2 linked regions of the Struthio camelus genome follow. The protein of the gene in region 2 purifies or fractionates together with the protein of the main gene of each other region. This does not show direct contact. Links are inferred from orthologs where the notes say so. Each region holds a gene or a part of one and is shown on either strand. Other genes may lie near its edges.

The links.
Region 1: the proteins of ASPH (region 2) and LRRC59 purify together in Homo sapiens (co-immunoprecipitation; 3 studies listed by BioGRID and IntAct, with this or other methods). This does not show direct contact. The link is inferred for Struthio camelus from reciprocal best matches to the Homo sapiens genes ASPH and LRRC59.

What each region holds. Positions count from the first base shown.
Region 1 is NC_090960.1:7,768,270-7,777,332, reverse strand, and holds the start of LRRC59 (leucine-rich repeat-containing protein 59), read right to left. Parts: upstream 3,557-9,063; 5' UTR 3,439-3,556; coding exon 3,322-3,438; intron 2,919-3,321; coding exon 2,859-2,918; intron 2,705-2,858; exon of another isoform or gene 2,324-2,704; coding exon 2,165-2,323; exon of another isoform or gene 1,829-2,164; coding exon 1,724-1,828; exon of another isoform or gene 1,566-1,723; coding exon of another isoform or gene 1,551-1,565; intron 984-1,550; coding exon 911-983; intron 468-910; coding exon 294-467; intron 1-293. Other genes in the region: ACSF2 (medium-chain acyl-CoA ligase ACSF2, mitochondrial), read left to right, coding at 6,918-7,000.
Region 2 is NC_090943.1:134,400,819-134,409,923, reverse strand, and holds the start of ASPH (aspartyl/asparaginyl beta-hydroxylase), read right to left. Parts: upstream 3,694-9,105; 5' UTR 3,544-3,693; coding exon 3,483-3,543; intron 1-3,482.

The sequences.
Region 1 (9,063 bases), on a different chromosome or scaffold from region 2:
GAATTTTCTGAATCTTGTAGTTCAGCAATCTGTCAGGAACAAAGATGCTGAAATATTGTCTTCCTCTCCTACAGCTGTCCACCTGTAAGATTTTTAATAAGCTCTACTACTGTGCTGTTTCCCTACCACTCTGACCATCCCCCACCATCAAAATTTGATGAAGGCTGATGCAGTGTCTAGGGCAGTGGTCTTGTTCCTTCTCTTCCACTTATTTTTCCTATGCTGTGCTCAAGTTACAGATTAAAATATTACATGATGGTCTCTACAGAATACCCACTGTGGATGCAACTTACTTCGGGTCTGAACGGTTTCTTTTTTAGTTTGCTTTTCCATCTCCTGTTTTGCAGCTCTCAGAGCATCATACTCCCGTCTTCTGCGTTCCTTTTCCTCTGCCTTCTCTCGCTTCCGCAGTTCCCTCTCTTGAGCCTCCTTTGCACGCTGTTCTGCTTCACGTTTCTTCTCCATTTCTGAGGATTAATACAAGGGTTTTTTTCCCTTTATATAAAGGGTTGTCATGGCCTTGTTCCTTATTACATGCTTACCTGTTCCCCATTGGAATAAGGAAACAATCAAATAAGTACCCTGGATTATTGTTCTAAAATATTATATGCCTTTCATCTTGCTCCCTCAAGTTTACACTTCCCTTAAAATAAATCCTGTGTTTTTCCTTCATACTTTTTATAGGTGACTTACAGCACGTTTCCTTGAGGGATCTAACTGTTTTCCAGGCAAGAAACCACAGAGTTATCCCAAGCTATCTTTCCCCCTCCTCCCCTAATACTCCTTGGGTCCTCAGAACTCTGGTAGTTACAGATATTTGTTAGATGGCAATCAGTATGGTTGGGTATGTCATCAAGAGAGATCAGGAATAGTCTTCAGCAGAGAGCGCTTGAGGGCTCTTTATGCCTACCTCGCTCTGCCTGGAGCTTCCGTTGCCTTTCTCGATCCTGCTCAGACTGGATAGCTCTCATATGCTGCAGTACCTTCAAGGTCCAAGAAAACAATATGGGACGTATGCAGAAGGTTCTTTGCATAGTCATTTCAAAACAGAACAGTTAAGAGCGCAGGTGAAGACTGGCAGAAGACAGTCAGCTGGGACTGATTACTAATCCGATAAATTTGCACACAGCTGACTTAGCCTTACAGGTCTGGCTCCAAAGAGAACTCTCTTGACTTTCCTGTATTACTCTTTACAGTTAAGAGAAAGATATTTTAATTAGAAAACAAACAAGGCAAACTGGTGCTAGCTAGCACAGAGGATCACAGAACACTTGTTCTTTTATGAGACTGAATTCTTTCAAGTAATAGTATGACAAGGCAGCAACACAGACCCAGACTCTAACTATTCTTGCTCCACAGCTTGCAGCAACTATTTATGTGAGCTTGTAGTTTGCCAGAACTTTGCGAGAGATTTTTTACTCTGGAGTGTAAGCCTGGACATGGATTATTTTGTTTAAATGTACCTCCGCTTTCCTAGCTACCAGCATTCAACACTCTTAACCCCAGTAATGAAAAAGAATCCTGCTTAGCTCAGTCTTTGCTCACTACAGGCGCAGAAGCAATGAAGTCACTGCATGTTTACCAATGAACCAGCTCCTCACTGACTGAAGAAATTTCAAATTGCTGCAGCAGCAGCCCAGCATGCTAAGCAATCGGAGGAAAAACAGCAACCAGCAAATCCAAGTACGGGAAAAAAGAATAAAATAGGAAGCAGATTCCTTACCTTGACAGCAGCCTGTTTACATTGCTTTTCATCCAGACAGTCTCCTGCTACTTTAGCTAGAACAGGATCCAGGGGATTGTCCTTCAGATCCAGCCACTTCAGATTCTGCAGAAAGGAACGATAAACGGGAGGCTGTAAGAGTGCTCGCACACACAGAGCACAGTAGTCTTGTGATTATTCAAGAGATACAAAGCGGTAGCAAAGAGCTACTTAGTTTTCACGTAAATGAAGCACATACAGAGGACAAGTAGAGAGCTCAGGCAGAAGTTGCTTCAGTAGAAGTGAGGTAATTTCCACTGAGCTGTAGTGCAGAGCCCAGATTAATTTTGAAATGGGTAGCCAGCAGGACCGATGCTTTACCAGAGAACAACTTGAGAAGAATCACAAGACCCTGGACTGCCTCCCAAGGCTTTACGTAACTGCCTAGCAAATGGGTTTTACCTTGAGCTGTGCAAAGCTGACTGGCAGGGTGACTAAACGGTTGTTCAGAAGGTCCAAGTGCTGCAGATTGACCAGGCGGCCAAAGTCCAAGGGCAGTTGTTGAAGCCGATTTTTACTCAAATCCAGTTTCACCAGATGCATCAAACTACAGAAGTCCGACTAAAACCGAGACACACACACACACACAAAAGTAGAAGCAGCTTGGCATCACCTTTACAAAGGAACCCCAGCTGAGAGTGTGTCGAAATATCCTTCACCTTATGTGATAAAGCCATAATCCTTAACACAAAACTGTGTGATGGAGGAAAATCACCCTCTTCCTCTGCCTTGGAAGACAGAGGTAGAAAACAGTGGGACACCCCTGTTTCCTAGACAAGGTGATATGCCGCAATATATCTGAAACAAAACTGAGCCTCTATTGCTGATGAAAGTGGTTTGTAAAGTTGCAGGGATCCTTTGGCAGGGAAAAGGATCTTCAGCTTTTTCTCTCTTATTGCATTATGCCTGCCTCAGTAAAAACTACCATTAATACTAACCCTTAATTGATGGTTTTGTCATTCAGCCAACCCAGGAATGAGAGAAGTGCTAGTTCTAAACCTCCTACTGAATCTCTATTGAAGGACTTTGTTTTTTTTTTAAATATTATTTCCTAACAGATTTGCCTCATCTCCACAAAGGCTCCCTAGCATCTTACCGGCAGAGAAATTAGGTTATTACAGGACAAATCCAATATAGTAGCTTTCGGAAGGGCAGCCTGAAAGAGAAACAAAGAATTAGATCAAGCTATATATATATGTATATATGTGTATGTATGTATACACAACAGTGACGTTCTAGCATGCTGGTTTTGTTTTGTTTTCTTCCACGCCAGTTTGCGAACTCCTCAGCAGTTGCCACCGAGATGACGTTTCATCTTAATTAAGCCCTGGTTCACAATTCTGGTTTTAAAAGATACTGCTTCGGAAATGGAGCAGACGCTGAGGCTACGCATCTAGCTCGCAGAGCCCGAACACCCTCGTCTCGGGTATTTTAAATGCCTGCAGGCCAGGTGACGAACAACTGCCGCTGCGGTGCGCAGCTCGTTCGCTGCAGCGGGAGACGCTAGCGGCGCCTCTTGAGGCGCGGAGCGGCGGCCGCGGCCGCGGGCGGATGCTCACCAGCTCGCGGACCGGCACCTCGCTCAGGTCGCACAGGCTCAGGTCCAGCTCGTTGCCGTCCAGCTTGTCCTTCAGGTTCACCCCCTTGGCGGCGCCGCCGCCGCCGCCGCGCGCCATGGCGCCCCCCCGCCCTCCGCGGCACCGGGGGCCGGGCAGGCGGCTGCCGCGGGCGGAGGAGGGCAGCGCGGCGCGGCCCCGCCGCCGCTCCCCGCCAGCCACTTCCGCGTCCACGTCCGCGCTCGGCCCGCCAGCGCCGACGAGCCGCCCCGCGCCCAGAGGGGCGCCGCGCCGCGCCGCGCCTCGCCGCGCAGCGCGCCCCCTGCCGGCCCGGAGCGGCCCGCCGCCGGGCTCGGCGGCCCCGGCCCATCGCTCCTCCCGACGCAGGCAGCCGCTGCACCTCTCCTGGTTCCTGCCCTACTCGCTCGGTGATTGCAAGGTCATCGTCTGACCAGTGGCCTTCTCTTTGAAACGTTTGAAACTGAGCAGCGTGCTCTAGGTGACGCTGCTTGAGCAGGGGGGCTGGACTAGATGATCTCCAGAGGTCCCTTCCGACCTCGGCCGTTCTGTGATTCATATGCAGAGAATAAATAAGATGTCTCACTGCTACCCCACAGGCTGGTCAGATTTACACCTTGTCATTTCACCGTTCACACTATGTCCCATGAAAAACTAAGCCTTTAACGAGCAGTAATCCCAATATGAACACAAAACCCAATTCATGCATGCTTTCTTTACAAATACTAGACATTGTTGCTTCCTGCTCTTCATAGCCTCCATAATTACTGAGTGCTGGACTGGCTTTTTGTTGGCTTATACCAAGATGTCTCTCTTTACCAGGAGGAATTTGCAGTAATGTTCCTGCTTTGATCTGGAAGCTCGGATACAGCACAATCAAAGTGTTCTTTCACCTTGACTGACCCACTGTTGAGAAAGTCAGTGAAAGAGAAAAGCAGGCTGAGGGAGAGCCAAATTAATATTACCCAGTAATGGGATTGCAGTGAATGCTAACCTTGAATTTTTTGACCCCTATGCAAAATGTGATGCACTGGACCTTGCAAAGATGTTTCTAACTAGTTCAGCACATCTACCCCATGGATACTTTTGAGTAGGGTTTTTAAGCTGTCGCTAGGTGTCTTAACAATGCTGAGATAATCAAGATCTCTGGAGTCTCTGAGCAAAGGCACCACAAAATAGCAAACAAGGATCTGCCACAGAGTCTAATAAAGGCTGCCTAAGATCAATGCACTCTCATTCAGGAGATTAGAGAAGTTGCTAGGAGCAGGTTATTGTGCCTCCCACCGGTGACTGAAATTGCAGAACTCACACTTGAGAAAAGCGAGGTCTAGTTATGCAAGAATCTCTCTCTTCCCTCAGCTTTTCAAAACAAGGTTTGAAAGGCCAGAGGAAGACTTGAGCCAGGGACCGGTGGGGAAATCTCGCATTTCCAGATCTCCCACCATGGGCACCCAAGTGAGGCAGTCAATTGCCTCACTCCCATGTTAGTCAATGTGGGACTCACATGTCCCCTGCCTCCTCCTCAACCTGATAGGCACCATGGCCGTCTTAGCAGGGGCATACACAGTCCTGCTCCTGAGGGCAAAACTCGCAGGCGTTTTGAGGAGACCTGAGGCAGATCTTGTACCTGTATAGAGAAGGCCTTTGTATGTGGAATGCTGCAGATGACTGGGAACGTCTGAAATCTAGACCCTTGTAACTTCTGCATAATTCTTGGTTTAATATGTATCTGGGATTCACCCCATAGGCTAATCCTCTAAATGTGGGAAGATCAAACTGAAACTCAGCTTTATTTTTGTTTATTAAAGGTGGGGGTTTTGGATCACTTTTTTTTTTTTTTCTTCTCGTCTGTGGTTATACAACACCGAGCACACTTTGATGCTGTTGCAATACAAATAAATGTAATTGCACTGTGCTTCGCCGAAATAGTGAAGGGATGACTTTTGGCCATGAACGTCAGATGGCCTTACATCATTTACACAAATCCATAAACTCTCCTATCTGTTGATTTTAGTGGGACTGGCACATGTCAATATATTTACCTGGGCATGTCTAAAAAGTCTTAGAACCTACATGAGACAGAGAAATCAGGGCATATTTGTTCACTTTGCAGGAGGAAGGATGGAGGGAGAAGTAGGGAGAGGAATTGCTGAATGAAGCTGGATGAACACTGTCAATCTAATTTTTGGCCCTGAGTGCCTGAGAAGATTCCCAGACTCTCTTCACAGCGCTGACCTGCCTTGCCCAGTGTCCCATGTGCAGCCATGGCCAATTTTTCACTCTTCAAAGTCAAAAATCTCCCTTCCCCCAACCAAATAGAACGCTATCACGGCTGCCACCAAACAAACTCATCTTGCCTTGTGAACAAGATATGTGTCAGGGGAAAATCCCTCCCGATTCTAAAACCAACTATCTGAACCGTGAGGTTCGGTTATGCAGTCAGCATTTTACTGTGTGGCTGTTATTTATAAGCGTATTTTTGGCTTTGATGTCAGGGATACACCAATTCTGAGGCCAAAATTGATATCCTTGTTCATAAGCTCCATTGTAATAGTCATGGGATAGACACACTGTAAAGTGTCTCTCTGCTGAATTCTAGCTTCCACCTAGGCAGACCGAATTAAAAAGAGCAAAGAGCTGCAAAATAACTAGCCAAAGATCACATTGCAAGGTCAGTAAAGGAGCCAGAAACAGAGCCCGCATTCAGGCTAGCGCCCAGCTGCTAAAACTCCTTAGTGAATGCTTCTATGGTATTTAAAAGGTGTACACTGTTTTCTGAGATCCACTTTATCCCCCGGCCCTTTCATGGGAATTAATTAGCTTTTTGCCATGGTTGCAGGCAATGCTGGGAAAGGGTGCCTGTCATTTCACACTCAGAACAACGCGTGCGTCACCCGTTGTCCCTCAGTGTCAGCGCTGCTGCATCGGAGGCAGCGCTGCTCCTGCGCCTGGGTGCTCGAGGGAGCTGAGCGCCGCAGCGCTCCTCGGCCGGGCGCCTGCTCCTGCCCTTCCCGCGGGTGAGGGCAGCTCAGCCTGCCCCACTGGGGAGAAGGTGTGCAGGTCCCAGCTGGCCTCTCCTCTCACCAGAGCAGCCCGCTGGGAGAAGGCAGAGTTTGAGGCTGTTAGGTGGTACCCGCGCTGGTGAAGTGGATGGGGCTCAGGACTCCCAGGGGCTCAGGCATCAGGCGATGAAGATGAAGGAAAGCAGAGGGGACGGGTGCTGGCCGCCTGGACAGCGAGCCCGTTTCATTCCTCACGCCGAGGTCCGCGTCAGCCAGGCTCACAGGGTTCATTCGGGCCACACGGAAAGGCCCTGGCTGGGGTGCAGCATCTGGGGCTAGGCAGAAAAAGGCTGCTGGGGCAGCCCGGAAAAATAAAAGGAGTTAGCGGCAGGGACGGCCGGCGGGGCGCGGGGCCGGGCTCGCAGGAGCCCCGCGCCCCCTGCCGCCCGGGGGCGAGCGCGGGCCGAGGCGGGCCGCGGCGCGCACCGCCCCCGCCGCCCGCCGCCGCTGCGCCGTATAGGGCGGCGCGGGGAGCCGGCCGGGCCCGCTGTCGCCGCCGCCGCCGCCGCCGCCGCCCGCATGGCCGCCGCGGCCCGCCTCGCTGCGCTGCCCCGCCGCCGGCTGCCCCTGCTGCGCGGGCCGCGGGGCGCCCGGCCCGGCAGGTAGGGCCGGGGCGCTGGGCGCTGGGCGAGGCGGCGGCTGCGGGGAGCGAGGGAAGGGGGACTCTGGGGACAGGGGGAGGGGGCTGTGGGGAGTGGAGGCTGTGCGTGGTGGGACGGGGGGCTGGCGGCGATGGGACGGGGAGCTATGGGGGCAGAGGCTGTGGGTAACCGGGGATGGAGGGCTATGGGGAGTGGAGGCTGTGTGTGGTGGGATGGGGGGCTATGGGGAGTGGAGGCTGTGTGTGGTGGGATGGGGGGCTATGGGGAGTGGAGGCTGTGTGTGGTGGGACGGGGGGCTATGGGGAGTGGAGGCTGTGGTGGGATGGGGGGCTATGGGGAGTGAAGGCTGTGTGTGGTGGGATGGGGGGCTATGGGGAGTGAAGGCTGTGTGTGGTGGGATGGGGGGCTATGGGGAGTGGAGGCTGTGTGTGGTGGGACGGGAGGCTGTGGGTAACCAGGGATGGGGGGCTATGGGGAGTGGAGGCTGTGTGTGGTGGGATGGGGGGCTATGGGGAGTGGAGGCTGTGTGTGGTGGGATGGGGGGCTATGGGGAGTGAAGGCTGTGTGTGGTGGGATGGGGGGCTATGGGGAGTGAAGGCTGTGTGTGGTGGGACGGGGGGCTATGGGGAGTGGAGGCTGTGTGTGGTGGGATGGGAGGCTGTGGGTAACCAGGGATGGGGGGCTATGGGGAGTGGAGGCTGTGCGTGGTGGGATGGGCTATAGGGGACAGAGTCTGTGGGGACAGGGGATGGGGGGCTCTGGGGACAAGGGATGGGGGACTATGGGGAATGACAGAGAAACCATGTGTGATGGGATGGGGGGGCTGTGGGGACAGGAGACAGAAGGCTGTGGGTGACTGGGGGTGGGGAGCTATAGGGCCTGGGGGTCTATAGGGCAGGTTCAGAGTGATGTGGGTACCCAGCCAGGTGAGTGCCACGTGCAAACAGGCCAAAAACAGCTCAGGGGTGCTAGAGGTTTCACTCTTTGCATGCTTTGCTGCCTCTTGGCTCCCATAAGATCCTTCCAAAGTGGCAAGAGACAGGCTGCATCCCTTGGTCTGACCCCCAGGCCTGGTGGGGCAGGGACCAGGGTCAGGGACAGTTCCTGTGCAGCATGCAAAGAGGACATGGACATGTGTCCTGGGCTGAACTTTCCTCGTGTGACAGCTTAATCTCAACGGCAGTCATGTGAAATCGCATATCAAATAGCTTTTCCATCCCCCTTTGCCGCTCCGACTTATGGCCTTCTCCTAGCATTGTCACTGCCGTTGTGGCCATGCAGAGGCTCCCTGGGGTGCAGCTGGTGGTTGGGTGACGTGGGGCACTGGGGTGGGAGCAGGTCTCAGCCACTGAGGAGCTGCAGAGCGCTGGGGTTTGGGGGATCCAGCCAGTTCTTTGCCTTGCCTTTGTTCAACATGGCCTCCTGGGAGAAGGTGGTGGGAAAGGACAGTAGCAGAAAAATGCCTGAGTTGGGATGGGAGAGGCTTTGGAGGATTAACTGGCATTCCAGATAACTCTGTCCAGGGAGGTTTGGTTTCCAGGGAGTAACTCTGCCAAGAGCTGTAAGGAGCAAATCTTGCTTTTCACATGCAGCATCTAGGTGCTTGTTTTCAGCTGGGGTTGAGATGAGGAGTGAAGTGGTTGGTGCCCATGTGGAGCCAAGACTGCAGGCCCAAAATCTGTTCTTATGAAACTGTATCAAGAGGCAAGGCGGTAAATTCATTGTAGTTTGGACTGCAGCCCAGAACTGTAAAAAACTGAGGAGCAGGAACACAAAGTATTTGCATTAAAAAAATCAAATGTGGGGGCAGGGCACGCTAAACTCTTGCTCTTTCTAGTAACAAAAATGTTTCTTAAATTCTGCTCTTAGCAGCAAGCAATTCATCCTTTTGGCAGGAGGAGTACAGAAGGGAAAGGGGCTTAGTGGAAAAAAAATGAAAAAGTCAACTGGAATCCAGCATTTGAAAGCTCTGTTAAAGCTCTGGGAAATCTACCATTCCTCAATCCAAAGCAAAAAAAAAAAAATATCTATATATATATATATATAAAATCAAAATCTGGTTA
Region 2 (9,105 bases):
TTTTTAAAAAAACAGGAAAAAAATATATATATATATATTTGCATGTACATATATGGGTCATGTTTCTGTTCAAACATTCAGCAGGCCTATTACAGGTAAATACAGTCTACAGATTATCTAAAGAAAAGAAAAGCATCAAGCTCTTAATAAGACATTATTTAAACTAGTACCACAGAAGCAACATATCAGACATCTGAAATTGCTTTTTCAGTTTTAAGTCAAACTTCCCTCCATTCAAACGCCTTATTAGAACTACTAAGAAAATAGACAGCAAGTATTGCACAATTATACAGTCACTGCAAATTATGCTTGTTTGATTTTAAGTCCTCACTTACGTAGCATAAAACGAAAGACACTCACACAGAAACATGAATATAGATGCTTAACCCTCAGCACTCTTACTGTTGCAAGCTATCATATCTGATAAACTCATTCATATTTTTTAATCCATCTATACTTTACAAGAAGTTAGGCTGCTGACCCTCACTCTTACTGGAAAGCTTCCCCAGAGCCATCTCTGAATGCTCTGAACATTTCCAAATGTAACCGCTTCATGGAAGTTATTCATAACCAACCGATACACCTTTGTTCCTATACCAAAACTGTCCTTCATCTCATGAAGTTTTAAGTAATATCCAACATAAGTATCCACTGCTTCATCCAGCTGTCTGAAACTTCTCCCTTTTGAGAAGCCACAGTTTTCTCAATGGGTTTTGTAGGCTAGTGACAGGAAGCCAGACTTTCCGGTAAAGATAATAATGAACACATGCTCTCCTGCTCTAAGTACCCCCAAACTGTCAAATTTTGACACAGTTTTTGCTTCTGTACCCCAGATTAAATCATTGGCATATAAATACAATTTTGTAAATGCCACTTTCAAAGAAAATTTTGCTACTAGCAGTACAAAGCTCAAATGCAAGAAGAATTTTTTTTACTAGGCCTATCTTAGGATGGTTTTTAGCATATGATTTTTTAAAGCAAGAGGTAGAGTTCTATTTCTAAAGAATTCAATTCCACTTCTGTCATTTCAATGAATCTGAAAACAGTTTTCTAAACACTACAATTAGTACTAGTTCAGATTTAGAAATTCTAAGATTTACATCAGCATTTTCTAATGTGGATACCTAAAAGCAGATTACTAAATTCAGATTCAGGCACCTCCTTAGGTGCTGAGATTTTTAGATGCACTGTCATCTTCACTGGTTTCACAGTCATGAGCAATGCCTTGGCAAGAAACCAAGTCCTCTCCAATGAACTGCTGTAAAAGTGATTACTACAGTACTATCAGGAACTGCCTCAGACTTGAGGTTTGCATGCTTCACAGTCTTAATTACTGGACATTTCAAAATTATTTCCTCATTTCATGTTCACAGCTCTCAAATGTGGAATACTTATTGGCTGCTGTGAAGACCGTCTGCTCCTCTAGCTGTTCTTCATTCACACAGGAATCATCATCCATTACCTCTTTCTGCAGCTGCATGGTATTCTTAAGCAACTATGAAAACAGCATCATCTTCATGCCATAATTTCTACAGCTGTCCAAGGGATTTTAACTAGGAGTAGCTGAAACTAACAAAATATTGGTCTTAATTTACTAGGTTACATTCTGGGATTGTGACCAACACTTAGACTCACACTGCTTTACACCTTTATATATAGCAATAATGCGTCCTCTGTGCAACTACACAAATTAGGTACTTTATTACAAACAGAAAAAATTTTGCTCATGCTGAATATAAAAATCTATATAATACTTTTATACTCAGTCAGAGACTTAGATTGCTGATAAATTTATTTTTCAAATGCTGACTAACCTTTAAAGTGATAATGTCTGAATCATTTGCAGTATTCAAAATTGTACAAGGGATGCATGTTCTTAATACATTCTTATTGGAAATCTGTATTTGCCATGCTGCTTAATAGTAGGTGACGATCATTTGACTCATGAATATCAAATAGTACCGCTAGTCCAGGAAAAAGTACAATATAGACTCTACAGCATATGCCAAAAAGGAGGACCTTATTAAAAATAAAATTAAAAAAAATTCTCTGAACCACTGTAACATCATCTCTGAACTCTTTCACGCTTAACTGACATTTGAAATCTTTTTCTCTCAATTCACCATGTGATTGGTGAATTGGTCCTATATGTTCATCCTTTCATTAGCACTGTCATCCATACTATTGCTGAAAGGGTAACAACAGATACTACTTCAGTGTCATTACAATTTGTCATCACTAGGGCTCTGTGCAAGTCAAGCTCAAAACCAAATAAGTTATAATTAGCAAGCATTCTAATCTTTGTTAAAATTTCCTTTAATTACTGTAGTATGCATGATTACACAGTGACTTCCATAAGTATATACTTTTCTCTCATTAAAGTATATTCTATTCTTAAAAAAAAACCTAGTGCATACAAAGTATTCCATACCTAAATTGTCAATACATACTACCTTATTAATAGTCAGATTTGCCAAGCTGTTATTTATTCTAGGGGGTGGGAAAGGGGACTAATAATCAAAAAACCCCTTCTCTCTGCATTTTTTCAAGATTACTCCTACCTGCTTCTGCACTTAAGTGAACCTTCGAGTTAGATACTACATCTATGATAGATCCAACAAACTTAGATCAGAAGATGTCCCAGCATCTGAGTTTAAACACATGAATAACAACTGCTTCACTAGCATTGGAGATACTGGGCATCCAGGTTCTGCTCCAGGCCTCCGGAAGAAAAGATCAACGTGCACTTCCCTGCAAACCTGAGAAACCCACAGATGTCAAAGACCCTCTCGGGGCTGAGGACCCTGCCCATCACTCAGCCCAGCCGTTCGGGGCGGGGAAGCTTTCGAGTGGTGCGCCTCCACCTCCTCAGCCAGACCAAGCAAGTTTCTCCTCCGCTTAAATTCCTGAGAAGGGGGACGACCGAAACCCGAGCAGCAGATCTAAACCATCTGTTCCCGCTTCGCGCTGCCTCCAGGAGCTGACACGCAGCGCATAGGGAAGGCCGAACGCGCGCGGGGCCGGCGAAGCCCCCCGGCCCGGCCCGGCCCCCCACCCCTCCTCCTCCTCCTCCTCCTGCCGGGCGGCCGCCCCTCGGAGGCCCGGCCGAGCAGCCACGGCCCGCAGCATCCCGCGGGCAGGGCCGGCGAGCGCGGGCGTTGGACAGGGGCTGGGGAGGCTCCACCGCTTGGCGGGGGCAAAGCGAAGGCGGAGAGCAGGGCGCAGCGCGGCCGTGCTCCTCCTCGCCTCCCCCAGCGGGCTCGCCCCCGCCCCGGCGGGCAGGGGCGGCATCGGCCCCCTCCCCCCCCCCACGGCGGCGGCCCTACGGCGGCGGCTCCTCGGCCCGCCGCCGCCCTTCCCCGCAGCGCTGCCCTACTTCGCGGCGGTTACACCCTCTCCCCACTTCCCTCCGTGCCGGCTCGGCCCGGGAAGCTCCCCTCCGAGGCGACGGCCCCGTTTCCCGTCCGCTCCGCGCAGCTCACCTCTCTTGGAGCCGGGGCTGGGGTTGCCGCCGGCACCTTTGGAGCCCTTGCGCGAGGCCATGGCACCTCCTGTCAGGTAGCGAGAGGCAGCGGTTGTGCGCGCGCGCGCGCGGCGGGCGTGGGGGTGGGGCGAGCGGGGCGACGGCGAGGATGAGTCAGTAACCGCCGCCGCCGCTACCTGGGCGCTGCGTGCGGTAGAGTCCTGCGGCCGCAACCAGCGCCCGCCGCTCCCCGTCCTCCCGCCCCCCCCGCCGACGCCACCCAATCGCTGAGCGCTCCTGGGGAAGGAGGCGGGGCACTGCTCACCTCCCATTGGCGGCGGGGGCGGGTGGGGGGCGGTGCTCGGCGGCGGGGGCGCGTGTCCGCCACGCTCCCCTCGCCGGCGGCTTTGAACGTGGCAACATGGAAGCGAGCGGGGGCGTCTCGCGAGCGTTCGGCCGCGGGGCCGCGCCGGCGCGCGCTCCGCCGGGGGGAGGGGACGAGCTGCGGTGCCCGGCTGCCCTTGTCGGCCGGGGTGGGGGTGTTCCCCCCTCTCGCTCTGCGGGGGGGCTCAAACCGGCGGGCGGGCGGCGCAGGCAGAGCGCGGCGGCGACGGCTCGTGGCCGTTAGTCCTCGTGCGTGTGGGCGCGCGGGCGGCGGTTACAGGCGCGGCGCCGCGGCCTCGGCCTCGGCGCGGCCTGCGGCTCTGCGGGGGAAGTGGAGGAGCGCGGGTGCCGCGGGGGAGGCTTTCTCGCCGCTCGAGTACGTGGTATGTGGGAGCCTGCGAGGCGGTGGCCGCGGGGCTCCCCCTGCGCGGGGCGGCTTTGCGGCGCCGGGAATGGCGGCTTGCGAAAAAAACAAAGCGGGCTAAATGGGGGTCTAATGCTTAAGCACTTGAGACGCTGCTTAAAACGTCTTGTTCTGTTTCTCTGGCTGCCTTCCGCTTTGTTCAGGTGTTCGTAGCTCACCCGTGCGCAGTTTATGGGAAGCAGCTCGTTCACTCTTTCAGATAGCACTTTTTCAACCCATGGGGTGAAACAGTTTAAAGGATGTTGCATTAACAGATAAATTCTCAGAAAAAGCTTGTCAAGTCTGAAAAATATTTCAAGCAGCCTGTGACAAAATCAGTGGATTTTTTCTTAGTTTGTTTTTAACAGAAATTCTGAATGCTTCTTGTTCCTCAGTGACCTGGGATGAAACTTAATTAGAAAGTAGTGTGGCATAACAGCAAATTCCTTCTTGAACGACAGCAACAACTGAAAAGCTCCCTTTTGAGTCCTGGCCATAACTATAGTTTTTCAGATAAAAATAAGCAATGTTGAAAATTAGAGCTTTTGAAAATAACTGTTGCAGGAGAATGCTTTCCTCAAAACTAAATCTGACGGTTGGTTTTGAACTGAGTAACACAATGGATCTAACTGAAAATAATCATTTGCTGAAGAGCATTAGGCAGTAATTTTTAAGGAGATTTGAACCTAAATAACTAACAGGATGGCAGTGCTGGTACTCTAACTAGAAAAGATGAAAGCAACTAGTTCTATGAACATCAAAACTAACAAAGCTTACTTCTTGGTATCTATTTCTCATGTGAATAAACTGATATCTAATACAGCTGAGTAGCCGAACTTTTCATTTGCTTATAGTACTCTACCAAAACCTTATTTTCATGCTATGTTTCAGGGCTTGATATAGATCTATGAGTCCTTTCCTATAGCAAGGCAAAAAACTGGCCAACAAATTCCAGAGTTCTTAGGGAGAAGCAGACATGCTTATAAACGCACAAAGTTTGTCACAGGAATGCTGATAGGATGAATTATTAGCATTTGAGCAGATTGGGGAGGTGCAATTTAAGAAATACAATGTTTTAAGAATGCAATTCAAAGTAGTCTGTAATTCAGATAATTCATAGCTGGGTTTGTTGAAAATACATAATTAATAGGAAATAAGTGCTTATATGGCCATATTCGTGCGTGTAGTTCATACAAGGAAGATGACAGTGTTCTGACATTAATGAGAGATACAGTTTCCTGAAGCTATACTATGAGAAGGAGCAATTTAGTAAGAAAAGAGACATTAAGAGCATTTAAGCAACTGGGTGAAGAGTGACACTTAGAAAAAGAAGGCTGTTGTTGTTGATTTACTGTGAACTGTGAACCAAACTTACGGCTGTAAACAGACTGTAAAATTACTAGTCGTGTTTTCACTGGCATTCAACTGCCAGCATTGTGTATTTAGTGTATTCTATGCCTTCTAGTACAGTCTTCCATCAAATAGATGCTCTTGCAAGAGTAGAGCATGCACACAGGTAAAAGTGCTTATAACAATATTGAATGTTTATGTTCATTACTACCTTTCTGCATGATGGCAGTGATTATAATGAAATCTTGTGATTCAGTCTCCTGTAGACAGGAATTAGGATGTCTTTTTTTCCTCCCGGTGCACAGATAACTCCAGACAACTGGAGAAGAATACTAGTTATGATGAGCCACTGTCTTGTGGTAGTTAGAGAATCTTTTTGCCTCATAACTCTGCTCATGTACTCAAAATGTGATCATCAGATATGATTTTGGAATAAACAGCCTTTCAGATCAAGATAGCAGAAAGTATTAGGTCTGGTTTATCTACTGGGGTTATCTGAAGACAATTCAAGTACAGGCTATGTGACCCGTTTCGTGCCACTGAAGGAGCGTGGGACAGCAGTTTGTGGATGCTTAGTTCTTTTAAATTTGCTGGGCTACTGTTGGGAGAACTAGAAGCAACTTAATAGTATAACTTGTAGCAAATGATATGATGATCTCTTCTGATCTGAAATCTAATGAAAATTAAAGCAAATGTAAAAGTATCATTTTGGAAAAGAATGGAGACAAAAGAGAATAGCATGTGGGTAGGTGGATATGTATGGGAAAGCTTGTTTCTTTTCTTAATCAGCTGAATTCTTTTACTACTAAATATTTACTACATTGTAACCATGTGCAATAAACCACAAGAAGATAAATATCATTATGTTTGTTTATTGGAGGGAAAGGAACAAGGCAAAAAAAAGAATGTAACAATGAGGAACAAGCAAAGTTTAGAGAGCAGAGGTAAAGCAGACAGCAAAAGAAAAAAACAGAAAAACTAAAAAAAAAACAAAAAAAGTTACATAATAATGGCAAGGAGCAGGAGAAGAGAGCCCACTGCAGTCAGCTGGAGCCTTTCCACTTCGATCAGGCTCATTTAAAACAAAAGATTAAAAACTCCTCCCTGTTGGCCAGAACTCCATTTGCCCCTACACCAGAATATCCTAATTGCTAGTTGAGACTACAGATAACTTTAATGGAAATCATGCTGCATTACATAAATCATATGTTAGAAGACTGTCACCAATTAATGAGACTTGCTTGGAAAATGGATGCTTTGTTTTTACTGCGCAATATTTTTTCCATAAATACTTCTGCATTACTGCAGTTGCAGCTGTTTGGCTGGCCTGATTCATTCAATAGCACAGTGACTCTGCTGTCTGACAGGAAGAATCACATCCAAGGTGATAAGCAGAAGCAGCATTGAAATAACTACACAGGAAGAAGATTCTGTCTGTATTCTCTTTATTTCTAAACCAAGCACAAATATACAACCTGCCTGTAGCAGGGTGAACAGAGGCTGAATAAGAGAGGGAATGTTAATGTGGCGGGGGAGGGGGAAGTCACCTATTTAAAGCAACTATGAATTTAGCCCTGTTTTCTACTTCTTATAGGATAGTTGAATAAACTATTTTAAATGTGTTTGCCTATGCTATATGCAGTGCTATGACTTTATGTTATGTGTTCTATTGATGGATTTACTTCCATTCATGACTTTTATCTGAATTTGTCATAAAGCCATCTGTTCTATTTCCACTAGGCTGTAATATGTCTTCTGTGAGGGAGGTATAAGCAAGTCTAATTGAAAGCTTAGGAGCTAGTCCTTATTCTGTTGGTGTTCCTGAGCTATTTTATTCGGCTGTTGATCATTCTAACTGAATTACAGTTGTCTAGTAGATTATGCACATTTCTCATGAATAAATAAATTTCAATTGATCATCAAGGAAAAGTCAGTCCTCAAATAGAAGGGAAAGGTAGTTTTATGACTTAATGCATTGCAATGAAAAGAGATTGGGAATCTCCAGGATATGTTACAATTTAATGTGTTAAAAATTGTCTAATAGTCTAAGATTTTCAATAGAGAGCTTTAACATGTATAATTTTAAGGTTTTTGTGTGCCCAGATGATACTTCTTCCAGGATGTTTAGTCAGGAGGTGAGTAAACTGAGCACCTTGTTAACCAACTTAAAAATGTGTTGTCACCAGCAACCTTTGCGTTAAAAAACCGTCTTCGGGTTGGAATTTAAGGCACAGAGAGTTGTGCAGATTTCGATGTTCTCTGGATGGCCAAGTTGAGGCTTGAACAGCTTCCTGGTTTCTAATGGCAGACTACTGAGAATGAACATCCAGACATCTACAGAATTCACTAACTGCTTACAGAAAACCAGAGTTAGATATTTTGGGAAGACAGGGGAAGAGCAAGAAGGTAAAGAGTACCTCAGTTCCCCAAACCTAAATAACTGTATTAAAGTTAATGCTATTAAGTGATTCCATTTAAAACCAGTTTTATTTGATGATGCTAGCTGGTAGAAAATGGATACAAAAGCTGGCAGGCAAAGGAAGATACATTTGAAGTTGGTTACTCTCAAGGAACAAGTCTCTTTCACTTTTCTGGATTTTTTGTTTGTTTAGCAGTATTTCCATAACAATAAGCACTTGTTCTTAGATTTGTATGCTGGTGTATAATCTTAGAACTTTTTCTGAATAGTTGATGATAGTATCAAATAGAAAGTGGACCTCTGTTGGAGAGGAGTTGAGAAAGATGTACTTATCTGGAATGTAAGAGAAAAAAAAAAACTTGAGCCAGGTGAAGCAATTCTCGTGCAAGCAAAGGTAAAGTTGAAGGAAGTTTGATTTGAAATTGGTAAGGTAAAACATAGGCTATCTCTTATAAAGTCTAGATCTAAAGCCTATTCTTGCACTCAGCTGATTTATCTTGACCTCTCAGATGAGTAAATTAATTCGACTTTGAGCTTTGGGCCAGTAGGAAGGCCTAGGAGTTTAGAATTTGTTATGGCATTGCTGGACTTCTGAGTGTCTTACTGCACACTTTGCCAGGCATGATTCAGTTCAGCTAAACTGACCCCTGTGAGCATAATTACAGCTGAGAATGTAGCAAACTTCTCAGAACAAGGTTTTGCATCTGGTGATTGGATTTTGCATAAAGTGTGACGATTATTTGGGACTTAAGTGAGGCCTTCTTATCACTTCATATCACTATGCAGCAGCACAGGAATGTGTGGATTTCTCTCCTATAGCACAAGAGACTCAAACGATCAGGCGAAAGGTTCTTTGTACACGTACAACAGTTACTTAGAATGTATATTCTTGCAAGGACAATTAGAAGCTAGCCTTGAAAGATCTTTAAACTAGAAGTAGTACCTTTCAGGTGGTTTGTGCTCAACTGATGGAGCTAAAATAGTGCAAAATACAGTTTGGCTATAGATTAAGACAAACCAGGTTCAGTATTTCAACAGTCCTGGAAGAAATCCTCTTTAGAACGGCACTAAGGGAACGAGGCTTGG